3 linked regions of the Nothobranchius furzeri genome follow. The protein of the gene in region 3 interacts with the protein of the main gene of each other region in a biochemical or structural test. Links are inferred from orthologs where the notes say so. Each region holds a gene or a part of one and is shown on either strand. Other genes may lie near its edges. The genes, in order: adrb1, kcna4 and disks large homolog 4.

The links.
Region 1: the proteins of disks large homolog 4 (region 3) and adrb1 form a complex in vitro, tested with the Homo sapiens proteins (2 studies listed by BioGRID and IntAct, with this or other methods). The link is inferred for Nothobranchius furzeri from reciprocal best matches to the Homo sapiens genes DLG4 and ADRB1.
Region 2: the proteins of disks large homolog 4 (region 3) and kcna4 form a complex in vitro, tested with the Homo sapiens proteins (8 studies listed by BioGRID and IntAct, with this or other methods). The link is inferred for Nothobranchius furzeri from reciprocal best matches to the Homo sapiens genes DLG4 and KCNA4.

Annotation. Positions count from the first base shown.
Region 1 is NC_091756.1:38,265,829-38,269,579, reverse strand, and holds adrb1 (beta-1 adrenergic receptor), read left to right. Parts: upstream 1-1,073; 5' UTR 1,074-1,781; coding exon 1,782-3,149; 3' UTR 3,150-3,605; downstream 3,606-3,751. UniProt on the Homo sapiens protein: Beta-adrenergic receptors mediate the catecholamine-induced activation of adenylate cyclase through the action of G proteins. This receptor binds epinephrine and norepinephrine with approximately equal affinity.
Region 2 is NC_091749.1:47,038,649-47,042,399, forward strand, and holds the start of kcna4 (potassium voltage-gated channel subfamily A member 1), read right to left. Parts: upstream 2,390-3,751; 5' UTR 2,202-2,389; coding exon 132-2,201; 3' UTR 1-131. UniProt on the Homo sapiens protein: Voltage-gated potassium channel that mediates transmembrane potassium transport in excitable membranes. Forms tetrameric potassium-selective channels through which potassium ions pass in accordance with their electrochemical gradient.
Region 3 is NC_091750.1:46,519,677-46,523,327, forward strand, and holds part of disks large homolog 4, read left to right. Parts: intron 1-931; coding exon 932-1,044; intron 1,045-1,154; coding exon 1,155-1,246; intron 1,247-3,286; coding exon 3,287-3,393; 3' UTR 3,394-3,651. UniProt on the Homo sapiens protein: Postsynaptic scaffolding protein that plays a critical role in synaptogenesis and synaptic plasticity by providing a platform for the postsynaptic clustering of crucial synaptic proteins.

The sequences.
Region 1 (3,751 bases), on a different chromosome or scaffold from region 3:
GGGTTTCCTCCGGGTCCGGTTTCCCCCACAGATCACAACATGCCCTATAGGTTATAAACTGTAAGTCGCTTTGGATAAAAGCGTCTGCTAAATACATTAACATAATAAACGTAAAATGTGGCTCTTTGCATTTATTCAAGGAAAAATTAACAATATGTTGAAGGAACTTTCAGCCCTTTTCTCTGACTCCGTCACAAACACCAGAATCATTTGAGAAAACAAAACATAAGATTGAAATATTTTTAGGGTGTTTCACTTAAAAATCTTTCAGCTGACTACATAATATTTCAAACAGTCAAGAATAGAGCTGTTATTACTTCATTCTAAGCTTAATTTATTCTGTGCTCAGCTCACATGTATGTAAAAACTGTGTGTTTAAATGTTTTTCCAGAATCAGAAGTTGGTGTTACCCATGCATAACAACTTCATCACAAAGAGAAATATTTAATATTCCTCTCGGTGATGCATGAGTACCGTTCTTGGGTTATTTTCTCTGCTTCATCAGAAGTTTCTGCCTCTAATGGTGCAAATGAAGGGAAAACACTGAGAACAGGAAATGACTTAACCCTTTACTGGTTCCAAATGTGTGACGCTTAATTGTTCCACCAAAAAGCCAGCAGGGAAAAACATCATAATCAAAAGGCTTTGCTTCAGCCTCCACACTTCAAGGTCAAAAAAGAAAAAAATAAAAGCATCCTGCTGCTCATAAAGGTCAAGGGGGAATGTTGACTTCTCTTCGTTGTGTTGGGTCGGGTTGTGTTGCAGCCTCAGCTGTGGGGTCGCTGGGTTCATGGGCGGGAGCGTAAATCGTCCACATAAAAACAAACAAAGTTTTGTTGTTTTCCATTTTTGTGCAGACTGTTTGTCATGAGGCCGGTGGAAATTTACACATCTGATGTGGACTAAGGTGTACAATCACTCAGAGCTCAAAGGTTATGGTCCATATTGACATGACAGCATCACACAGCTGCATGATGGGAGTCTCCTGTTCCACCACATCCCACATGTTCTGGACTGAGATCTGACTGTGGACATGGTTGGAGTCCAGTGAACTCATGGTCATGAAACCAGATGATCTTCGTGACATGGTGCTTTATCCTGCTGAAAGTGTAGCATGGGTTAGGGTCCACGTGGTCATGGATGGACATGGTAGTCTGTGGTGTTTAAACCAGGCTCAGGTGGCACTGGGGGTCCAGAGTGGGACAAGAACATCTCCCCCACACCATTGTACCACGCTGCAGCAATGATACAAGACAGGACGGATCCAGGTAGTTCACATATTCTCTCATTAACATTAATTAAACAGCTGAGCAGGTGCAGAGTGACCAGTTTATTTAAAACAAACTCAAGTGGGACAGTGGTGAGTCTTTACATTGATGCATTTAATAAAATCTGGTTGTGAGCCAAACGCTTCTTTATGCAGCTGTGAGGCCAGTCTGCAGGTCTGTGTTGGGTCAAGTCTCATGTTTAAGGAATGTATTCTCAGAGATAAAAATATAAGGAGAAAAACAAGTTCTGGACGTGATAGCAAGTGGTGACAGGAGGGAATTCCCTCTGGACCATTGTGATGTTTCCCATATTTGGTGCACCGTTTTCCCACAGTGTGGGGTTTTGCAGGATAAGAAATTCATGGGTCAATTTCTCATCAGAATATCGCGAATGTTCAGTAACTGTCCAGTGCATGCAAAATAAGACTGGAAGTCTGCTTTTCTCAGGTGCAGCTTGTTTCCTGATCCTCACCGCTGGGACCGCGGGTCCCCTGGACTTTCTGATTGGCCGTGATGAGCGGTGATGTCACCGCCTACCTCGCTGTCCAGGCCGGCGCGGTTTCGAGCGCAGATCCAGAGAGAGAAGCTAAAACACTCCGTGGAGTCGGCGCGCGATGGGATGAGAGCTGCGTGAACGCCGCACAGCGCTGCCTGGATGAGACCGAGCTGGTCCAGCTCACAGAGCAGCAGCCCGTCATGGGGAACGGTGGTGCGTTCTCACCGGTGAACCTCCACAATGGCACGGGGAGCGAGGCGCCGGGCTCCGCTTCACCTGCGTCGGAGCAGTGGATGGCGGGGATGAGCCTGGTGATGGGTCTGATCGTCGTGTCCATCGTGTTCGGGAATATCCTCGTGATCGTGGCCATAGCCAAGACGCAGAGGCTGCAGACGCTCACCAACGTGTTCATCGTGTCGCTGGCGAGCGCGGACCTCATCATGGGGCTGCTGGTGGTGCCATTTGGCGCCGCGCTTGAGGTGCGCGGCTCCTGGCTCTACGGCTCCTTTTTCTGTGAGTTCTGGATCTCCGTGGACGTGCTGTGCGTCACCGCCAGCATCGAGACCCTGTGCGTCATCGCCATAGACAGGTATGTGGCCATCACCTCACCTTTCCGCTACCAGAGCTTGTTAACCAAGGCTCGCGCAAAGGCGGTGGTGTGCGTGGTGTGGGCCATCTCTGCGCTGGTCTCCTTCCTGCCCATCCTGATGCACTGGTCCCGCGACAACGTGGACACAGCCTGCTACGAGAACCCGGAGTGCTGCGACTTTGTCACCAACCGGGCGTACGCCATCTCCTCATCCATCATATCTTTTTACATTCCTCTCCTGGTCATGATCTTCGTTTACGCACGGGTGTACAGAGAGGCCAAGCAGCAGCTGAGGAAGATCGACAAGTGCGAGGGCAGGTTTCACAACACCCTGACTGGACTCACCTCCAAGTGCAAGAAGAGGCCGTCCAAGATCCTGGCGCTGAGGGAGCAGAAGGCGCTCAAGACGCTGGGCATCATCATGGGGACTTTCACTCTGTGCTGGCTGCCCTTCTTCATAGTCAACGTGGTGCGGGTGTTCAGCGCAGAGGTGGTGGACAAGAACCTCTTCGTGTTCCTGAACTGGTTGGGGTACGTGAACTCGGCCTTTAACCCAATCATCTACTGCCGGAGTCCGGACTTCAGGAAGGCTTTCAAGAGGCTGCTGTGCTGCCCGAGACAAGCCGACCGCAGGCTGCACATCAGCTCCTGCGACCTGTCCCGCTGTTCCGGCGGGTTCGTGTCCGCGCTGGAGCCCGGGACCTTGGAGATGTGGTCGGACTGCGCCGTCCTGGACAACAGCGACAGCAGCCTGTTGGGGACAGCGAAACTGTCCCACTCAGAATCACAACTGTGAAGAAAATAAATAAAACCATCCAGATGGAGAGTTAAAAATATATACAAACAGGAAAGGATGCGCGTAAAATCCAAACCATTCGCTGTAAGTGGAGTTGTCTGTACAATCAGTTAAAGATCTTGGTCTTAATTCATCGATGCGATAAATCCAAAATCGAAGGTTTGCGCTCACAGAACACAAAGCGCTTTTTCCACAAAAGCGCACGAGCCTTAAGGTGATTTATTACTGCAGATGCGACTTTTTACTCCAGATCTGTCGACCAGGTGGCTATAATATTAAAAGAATCACGTTTTGCTGATACCTTTGTTCATAATGGGAAACAATGTGTTCCTAAAATGATCTCTGAGGCGCTCCAAAACGCGCATAACGTGGATGCCAATAAGCTCTTAATTACCTCACAGGCCGGTGCAATTTATACGGCAGGTACTTGTTTATATTAAACATAATGTAAAATAAGTGTTTTTATTTATTCGGTGCGTTCTTTTACAACATAACCAAGTGAGGGGTCAATAATTGCGCATTTTGTGGTGTGGAATGAGGAATCTCGAGCCTCTGTCTGTCTCCGGCTTTACCAGCTGTTTTAAGGTGGTGCTTTGACGTCT
Region 2 (3,751 bases), on a different chromosome or scaffold from region 3:
GTGCGTAAAGCCTGTGTTTGGGGAGGGTTGGGGAGGGGATTCCGCTGCTGTTGAGCAGAAAGTGTCTCTACAAGATGCTTTTCTTCTTTGGAAAACAAAACAATACCACTAATAATAATAAACTACTGTAATCACACGTCAGTCTGAATGGATTTAGAGTTAGTACTGTTTTTCCTGCTTATGTCTGTGCCGTTTCCTTTACTGGGGCTCTTGTCCAGCCCGCACAGCGACTCCGTCACCCCTTCCTCCATCTCCATGTACTCCGCTTTGTCACCCAGCGATGAGCCAGAGGGTGAACCTTTGAATTTTCTTAGAAAGTCAGGGAAATAAGGGCATCCCGGGGGCATGCTCTCCACCACGGCGGGCGGCTGGTCGTCGTTATCCGTCTCTCGGTGGTAAAAGTAGTTAAAATTGGACACTATGACAGGCACCGGCAGCGCGATGGTTAACACGCCCGCGATCGCGCACAGCGAACCAACTATCTTCCCACCAACAGTGATGGGCTTCATGTCACCGTAGCCAACCGTCGTCATGGTAACCACGGCCCACCAGAACGCGTCGGGGATGCTCGTGAACTGAGAGGTGGGTTCGTCCGCCTCAGCGAAGTACACCGCGCTGGAGAACAGGATTACGCCGATGACCAGGAAGAAGATGAGCAGAGCCAGCTCCCTCATGCTGGCGCGCAGCGTGTGACCCAGGATCTGCAGCCCCTTGGAGTGTCTGGACAGCTTGAAGATGCGGAACACCCGAACCAGGCGGATTATTCTCAGGATGGCGAAGCTCATGGTGTGCTGCCCGTTGCCCTGGTGCTGCGCCAGATCCGTGCCAAGAGTTATGAAGTAAGGCAAAATGGATACAATGTCTATCGTGTTCATAATGTTTTTAAAGAAAGCTGTTTTGCTCGGACTTGCAAAGAAGCGCACTATAATCTCAAAGGAGAACCAGATGATGCAGACCGTCTCCACGATGAAGAACGGGTCGTTGAAGGGTGTGAAGCCGTGGTCCGGCTGAGAAGAGTTGTGTCGTGGCTGCAGGTACTCTTTTTCATCCCTGAACTCTGGCAGCGTCTCCAGGCAGAAAATGACAATAGAGATGACGATGACCAGGACGGACACCACCGCGATGCCCCGGGCAGGACTCGAGCTCTCCGGATACTCGAACAGCAGCCAGATCTGGCGCTTGAACTCGTCCTCCGGCAGAGGCTTTTCCTCCTCTTTCACAAAACCCTCATCTTCCCGAAACTTGAGGATCGCCTCCTCGCCGAGTTCGTAAAACTTCACCTCCTCTGAGAAGATGTCAAACGGCACGTTCACGGGTCTTTTTAAGCGCCCCCCTGACTGGTAGTAGTACAGGATGGCATCGAAGCTCGGCCGGTTTCGATCGAAGAAGTATTCGTTCCTCAGCGGGTCGAAGTACCTGATGCGCTTGTCGGGGTCTCCCAGCAAGGTGTCTGGGAACTGAGTGAGAGTCTTGAGCTGAGTTTCAAACTTCAGCCCCGACACGTTGATGACCACCCGCTCGCAGCAGCCGCACTCGCTGTAAACGTTCTCGTAGCCGGACTGAGGGCGCCGGTCGGTGATCGACACCGTCTCCTCATCATCCATGTTGCACAGAAAACTCGACCTTTTGCTGCCTCGAACCCCCTCTGCCGCCTCCCCTTCTTCCTCCTCCTCTTCCTCCGCTCCCTCGGCCTCCTCCTCCTCCTCCTCTATCATGATGTCCTCCTCGGATCCGAGCAGCGCCAGCTCCGAGTGGCGCAGGTCCCCGCCGAGAGTGCTCCGGTTGCGCCTCCACCGTCCGACGCCGCGCTGCTTTTTCCGCTCTCTGAGAACTCTGTGCTGCTGCTCGGGTTCCTGCTGATGCTGGGAGGAGGAGGAGGAGGGGCGCGAGGCGGCGCTGCTGCTGATGTTCGCGGAGGAGGAGGCGGCGCGAGACTGATGCTGGCGATTGTTAAGGAGATGAGCGCTCGAGGAGGCGGTGGAGGTGGACCCCCCTACACCACCGCCTCCACCACCTCCTCCTCCTCCTCCTCCTCCCTCCGCACCAGAGCATCCTTCGGCCGCGGCCGCTGCAGCCGCCGCTCGCGACTGGGCAGCCTGGCGCTCCCTCTCGCGCTCCCTTTCCCGTGCGCGAGCTTGGGCATATCCGTAAGGCAGGTGACTGTTGCACCCTCCGTCCGCACCCACCATCGCAAATTCCATTTTCAGTCGATCAGCGGCGCAGTAAGCGCCACGACAAGGTGTGGATGCAGAGCAGGGGAGAAAAGTTGCAGTTCGGCGCGCGCAGAGACGCGAGGGCACGAGGCATCAACCGTTCCCGGGAATAAGAGAAAGTGAGAACAACAAACACTCCTCAGAAAGGTCCATATTGGGTAGCTTCTTACATGATAGAAGATAATGGTCGTGGCTCGAGCACCCAAGATTTTATGACATCATTAGAAGCAAAATATAAACATAAGGATAATACAAATCCAAGGGCCAGTGGCATAGCCTGTTACGCAGACGCTCTGTCAAACTTGCAGCGCCGCTTTATGTGTTCATAAATCACCGAGTCAACAAGCGACACCAAAACAGTCTCTCCTCCGTTTCTCTGGTGGCCATCAGGTGGCTCATTCCCCCACGACCGAGGGTTTGCGCTCAAACGCGTCCTTTAATCCTCCGTGGTCACCCGTGGTTGCCATTTTATGAGGTGAGATCTATATTTGTGTTTCATTTGGATGGATCTCCGCTTTATTCTGGAGCTCCGATGAATCCGAATGACTTTTCCTCTCAGAAGCTGCGAGAAAAGGAGAGGATAGGATTTAGACAACAACACGAGAGAAAGGGACGTGTTAATATTAATGATCGCTGTGCATATTACGAAACTTCACACGCTTATTATTATTATTATTATTATTATTATTATTATTATTATTATTATTATTATTATTAATATTAATGCTTGGACGGCATTAACAAAACACGTTTCGCACGAAATCCTCTCACTAAGCACCATTATTTCATCCTGACATCCATACTTACATCCGTAAAGGGCCAAAAGAGCCTCAGCCCTCCTAAAAACACATTTGTTGGAAGATGATGAGGAGGCGAGGATACAGATTTTCTTCTGCGCTCAAACCTTCGTCTTGATTGTGAGGCGTGATAATCACAAATCCGTCTCCGTCTCCAACGGGCGACCATATCCACATCCAGCATATGCATCCGTGCTCTGACGCACTCTGAGGAGGGCACTTTTTCCGGCTGCGTGCATGTCGACGTGTTGTCTCAATTCAACAGGATCTGTTGGCACTTGAGCCTCAATTTCTGCGGCACCGCTTCTGGGGAATCAGGTGTTCACGCAGCGAGTTGGCATCTACGATGGCTCCACGCGACCGCGAGCAGAAGAAAACGAGGGTGGGTAAAAGTTTACCTTGGTTCGGGCGGAAAGGAACGGCCTCAGTCTGAGCATCACACATCTGTCTGTCTGCCGCTTTAGCTCTACCTATCTCCTGTATCCCTCCCATTGTGTGTGTGTGTGTGTGTGTGTGTGTGTGTGTGTGTGTGTGTGTGTGTGTGTGTGTGTGTGTGTGTGTGTGTGTGTGTGTGTCGTGTACTGCAGCGCGCAGGCGGCGCTCGGTCCTCCCCCAGTGGACGCAGCCGGTACTGCGTACCTGCTGCAGTCTCTCATCCACAATTATCTGCCCTTCAGCATGCCTCCATGGTGCCAAACTGACTTTTTTTCCTCAACAAAAAAAAAGTATATTTTTCCTTCA
Region 3 (3,651 bases):
TGGTGATGAGCTACATTGTAGCCACAGCTGCCCTGAGGCACACTGACAGAGGCAAGTCTGCCGTACACAGACGCCAACTGTCCCTCCAACCAGCAGGCAAGGTGGGTCAGGTGCCTTGCCCAAGGACACAACGACAGCAAAAGACTGAGCGGGGCTCGAACCTGCAACCTTCTGATTACGGCAAGCACTTAACTCCTGTGCCACCGTCGCCCATAAAATAGAGGGCACTTGTCTGACCTGGAGAGGAGGTGCGTTCCACAGTTTTGGGGCACAGATGGAAAAAGCCCTTTCCCCACAGGTCTTCAAGCGTGCCACAGTGAGGAGGAGCTGATCTGCAGAGCGTGAGGAGGGTGGTAGAAATGGAGGAGTTCGCTTAAATAGGGAGCGGTCTGACTGTTCAATGATTTAATTACAAGAAGCAAAATTTTGAAATTGATCCTGAACTGAACAGGCAGCCAATGGAGTGATTTAGGTTTGGGTGTAATGTGCCGTCTTCTGTCAGCTCCAGTCAGAAACCTTGTTGCTGACGTCTGGACGAGCAGCTTTACGGATGCCTTACAAGCAGGAGTTGGAGTAATCTAGCCGGGATGTAATGAAGGCATGAATCACCCATTCTGACATAATGATTATTATTACATTTTATTCATATATGAAGTTATGAAATAGAAAAACACCTTCTTCACTCACATTTGATCAGACTCAAGGATGTTATTTAAACCTGAATATCAAAATTCAGCACATCAGCTCTAGCCTCCAACAGCGCTTTCATTTGTTATGACACCAATGATCAATTTTCCCCTAAAAAATCCTCACGACCGTGTGTGTGTGTGTGTGTGTGTGTGTGTGTGTGTGTGTGTGTGTGTGTGTGTGTGTGTGTGTGTGTGTGTGTGTGTGTGTGTGTGTGTGTGTGTGTGTGTGTGTGCACAAGCAGCAGGGGAAGCACTGCATCCTGGATGTGTCTGCTAACGCTGTCCGTAGACTACAGGCAGCTCAACTTCACCCTATCGCCATCTTTGTTCGGCCCAAGTCGCTGGAGAATGTTCTGTATGTATTCACAACTCCTCAAATGCAGCATCAGCAAAAACGTGCTATGGCAACAACTGTGTGTGTGCGTGTGTGTGTGTGTGTGTGCGTGCGTGTGTGTGTGCTAACAGAGAAATCAACACTCGTCTGACAGAGGAGCAGGCCAGGAAAGCGATGGACAGAGCCCTCAAACTAGAGCAAGACTTCCTAGAGTGTTTCTCAGGTGGGAATGCTGTTATCACAAAGATGTGACTATTTTACCCATTTGGCTTTTGTATTTAATTTCGTAGAACATAACATTTACACTCAAGTGTTAAAGATCCAAATAGCCCTGAAGCTAAAGACAAGTGGGAGGTAGATTACACCAGATGTGATTTGGTAAAAATAAAATAAAATAAAAAATAGATTCACTGTTTTGTTCATTTTTCTTCTGTTTTGTTAAAAATTTGTATAAAAACAAACTTCTACTAATAGAAATCCTGATCCTTCCAGCATATTTTTACAGATTAGCAAACTTTTACAGTTTAAAGTTGAACTTGATAAGTTTTCCAGTTCGCCCTTTACTGGTTGGAACAACAAGCTAATGCTAACAGATATTAAATAAGCCTTAAAAGAAAAAGATCTACACTGCTTGACAAAGCAAATATCATTACTTACAAAGAAGCTAGGTCACCATCAGTCTGTGATTTCTTATGTTTCCAATGTTCACTCTAGTTTAGTTCCTTGCTTCCCCTCTCAAAAGCAAACTGGTAGCCTTTAAACTAGCTACCAGCACAGTAAACAGCTATTGCCGTAAAGGTTGGTTTATGCTTGACGCATCTGCGAGGTCCGCACGGCTCCGCGCGGCCCAAAATTTCCGCAACGCGCACCTAGGAAATTTTCTAACCACGCGGACGGTCGGACGCGGAAAAACATGGCGGACTGGCAGAGGTTCGTAAATACAGACATTTGTATGATTCAGCTCTCAGAGATCACCGTGATCAACATGTTGTTAATAATTCTTGGAGAGAAATAGCTCGCACTGTCGGAAAAGACGAGGACGCTGTTAAAAAATGCTGGAATGCCATGTTGTAAACAGTAATTTTTACTTCTACAATGGTGTAGTGTTGGATGCATGCCATAGAGCTCCATGCTGCCCCATTCAGTCTGGGAGAATACTGGCTCACCGCAGAGATGAGCCGCATGAACCATAAACGCTGCGAGTTGTAAAGCGCGTTCCAGCCACGAGCCGCATCACCAAGCGGAAAGTAAATGCGTCAAGCATAAACCAAGCTTAATGCAAGCAGAGACAGCCCCCCCCCTCCCCCCACTAGTGTTCCTGTCCAACCACAAAACTGTTAAGTGCAGATTCCGGTCAGCAGAAGGCGACAGAGTGCTGTCCAATGTGAAGCTGGTGAATGTTCTCGCTCAAAACCACTGAAACCAGTTTGAAAACAAAAGTGTTTAAAGTGTTAAACACTATCAATTGTTGCTTTAATAGATTTTAATCCCAAGGCATGGGATATTTACGAACAAAAACATGCAAAAAGCACAGAACTTTAAAACGTCTTCCTGAGAGCATTCATGTGGACCATTCAAGTTAGGCAAGAACATTCTGTAAATGTGCACGTCACCCATGATCTTTCATAGAGTTTAAGATCATAATAGCTGTTTTGGTCAGATTTAAAACTAATTTATACAAAATGTCTCCCAGATCTTGGAGTTCATGTGTTCTCTCAGGTCAGACGTTTCTACAGGAAGACAAAAGCTGTTTTGGTTACGTAAACTTTGGCTAATGCACATCAGAGCTGCTGTTTTAAATCACCGTTAGCACTCAGACGTTTAGCACTCACGGCGCTTCTGTTAGGTACGCTTCAAGCTTCATTCATCCACTGATTCATGACTTCCTCCACCCTGAATGAGATGAACGCTTTGAGTCCCACCAGAGTCTTCTGGGATAACTCAGAGATTTTTAATATTTTAGAGATGCATTTAGGGCACATCCCAGCAGCAGATCTCTGACAGATCCAGTGCTGTCTGCGGTTTCTACCACATGCCAGATTGCTGTGGTACGTGACATTGTATCAGACACTGAAAAAGTAAACAAGTTTCAAAATGTGTGGAAACATTTGTAAAAAGATTTTTTTGAATCATTTTTCTAAAAAGTTGCTCCCTAAGTTGTCTACCAAAGGCATCCTTTAATCTTATCATTTTTCTGCCTCCTTCCTTCTGTCGCTGCTCGCTCTTTGATGATTTTCTTCTCTTTTCTCATTTCCTGCTGCAGCTGTCGTGGACGGGGACAGCTTTGAGGAAGTTTATCATAAAGTAAAGACAGTGATTGAGGAGCAATCGGGGCCTTACATCTGGATCCCCACCCGGGAGAGGCTGTGATGCTGCACCCGGCCGACCTCCCCTCACTCTCCTCTCCTCCCCCCTCCACCCTCAAGGCCGAGCCAGCCTCGCCCGCCTGCGAAGTCCTCCAGCGAAGTCGGCGCTTAGGCTGCAAATGACACAGAGACAAAAACAGGAAGTGACCCAGTGAGACAAAGAAGGATACCAAAAACAATAAATGAAGGAAACAGAGACTTTATGACTCGTGTAAACACACTGATGTGTAATTAAACTGAAAGAGACAGAGAGAAAATATTT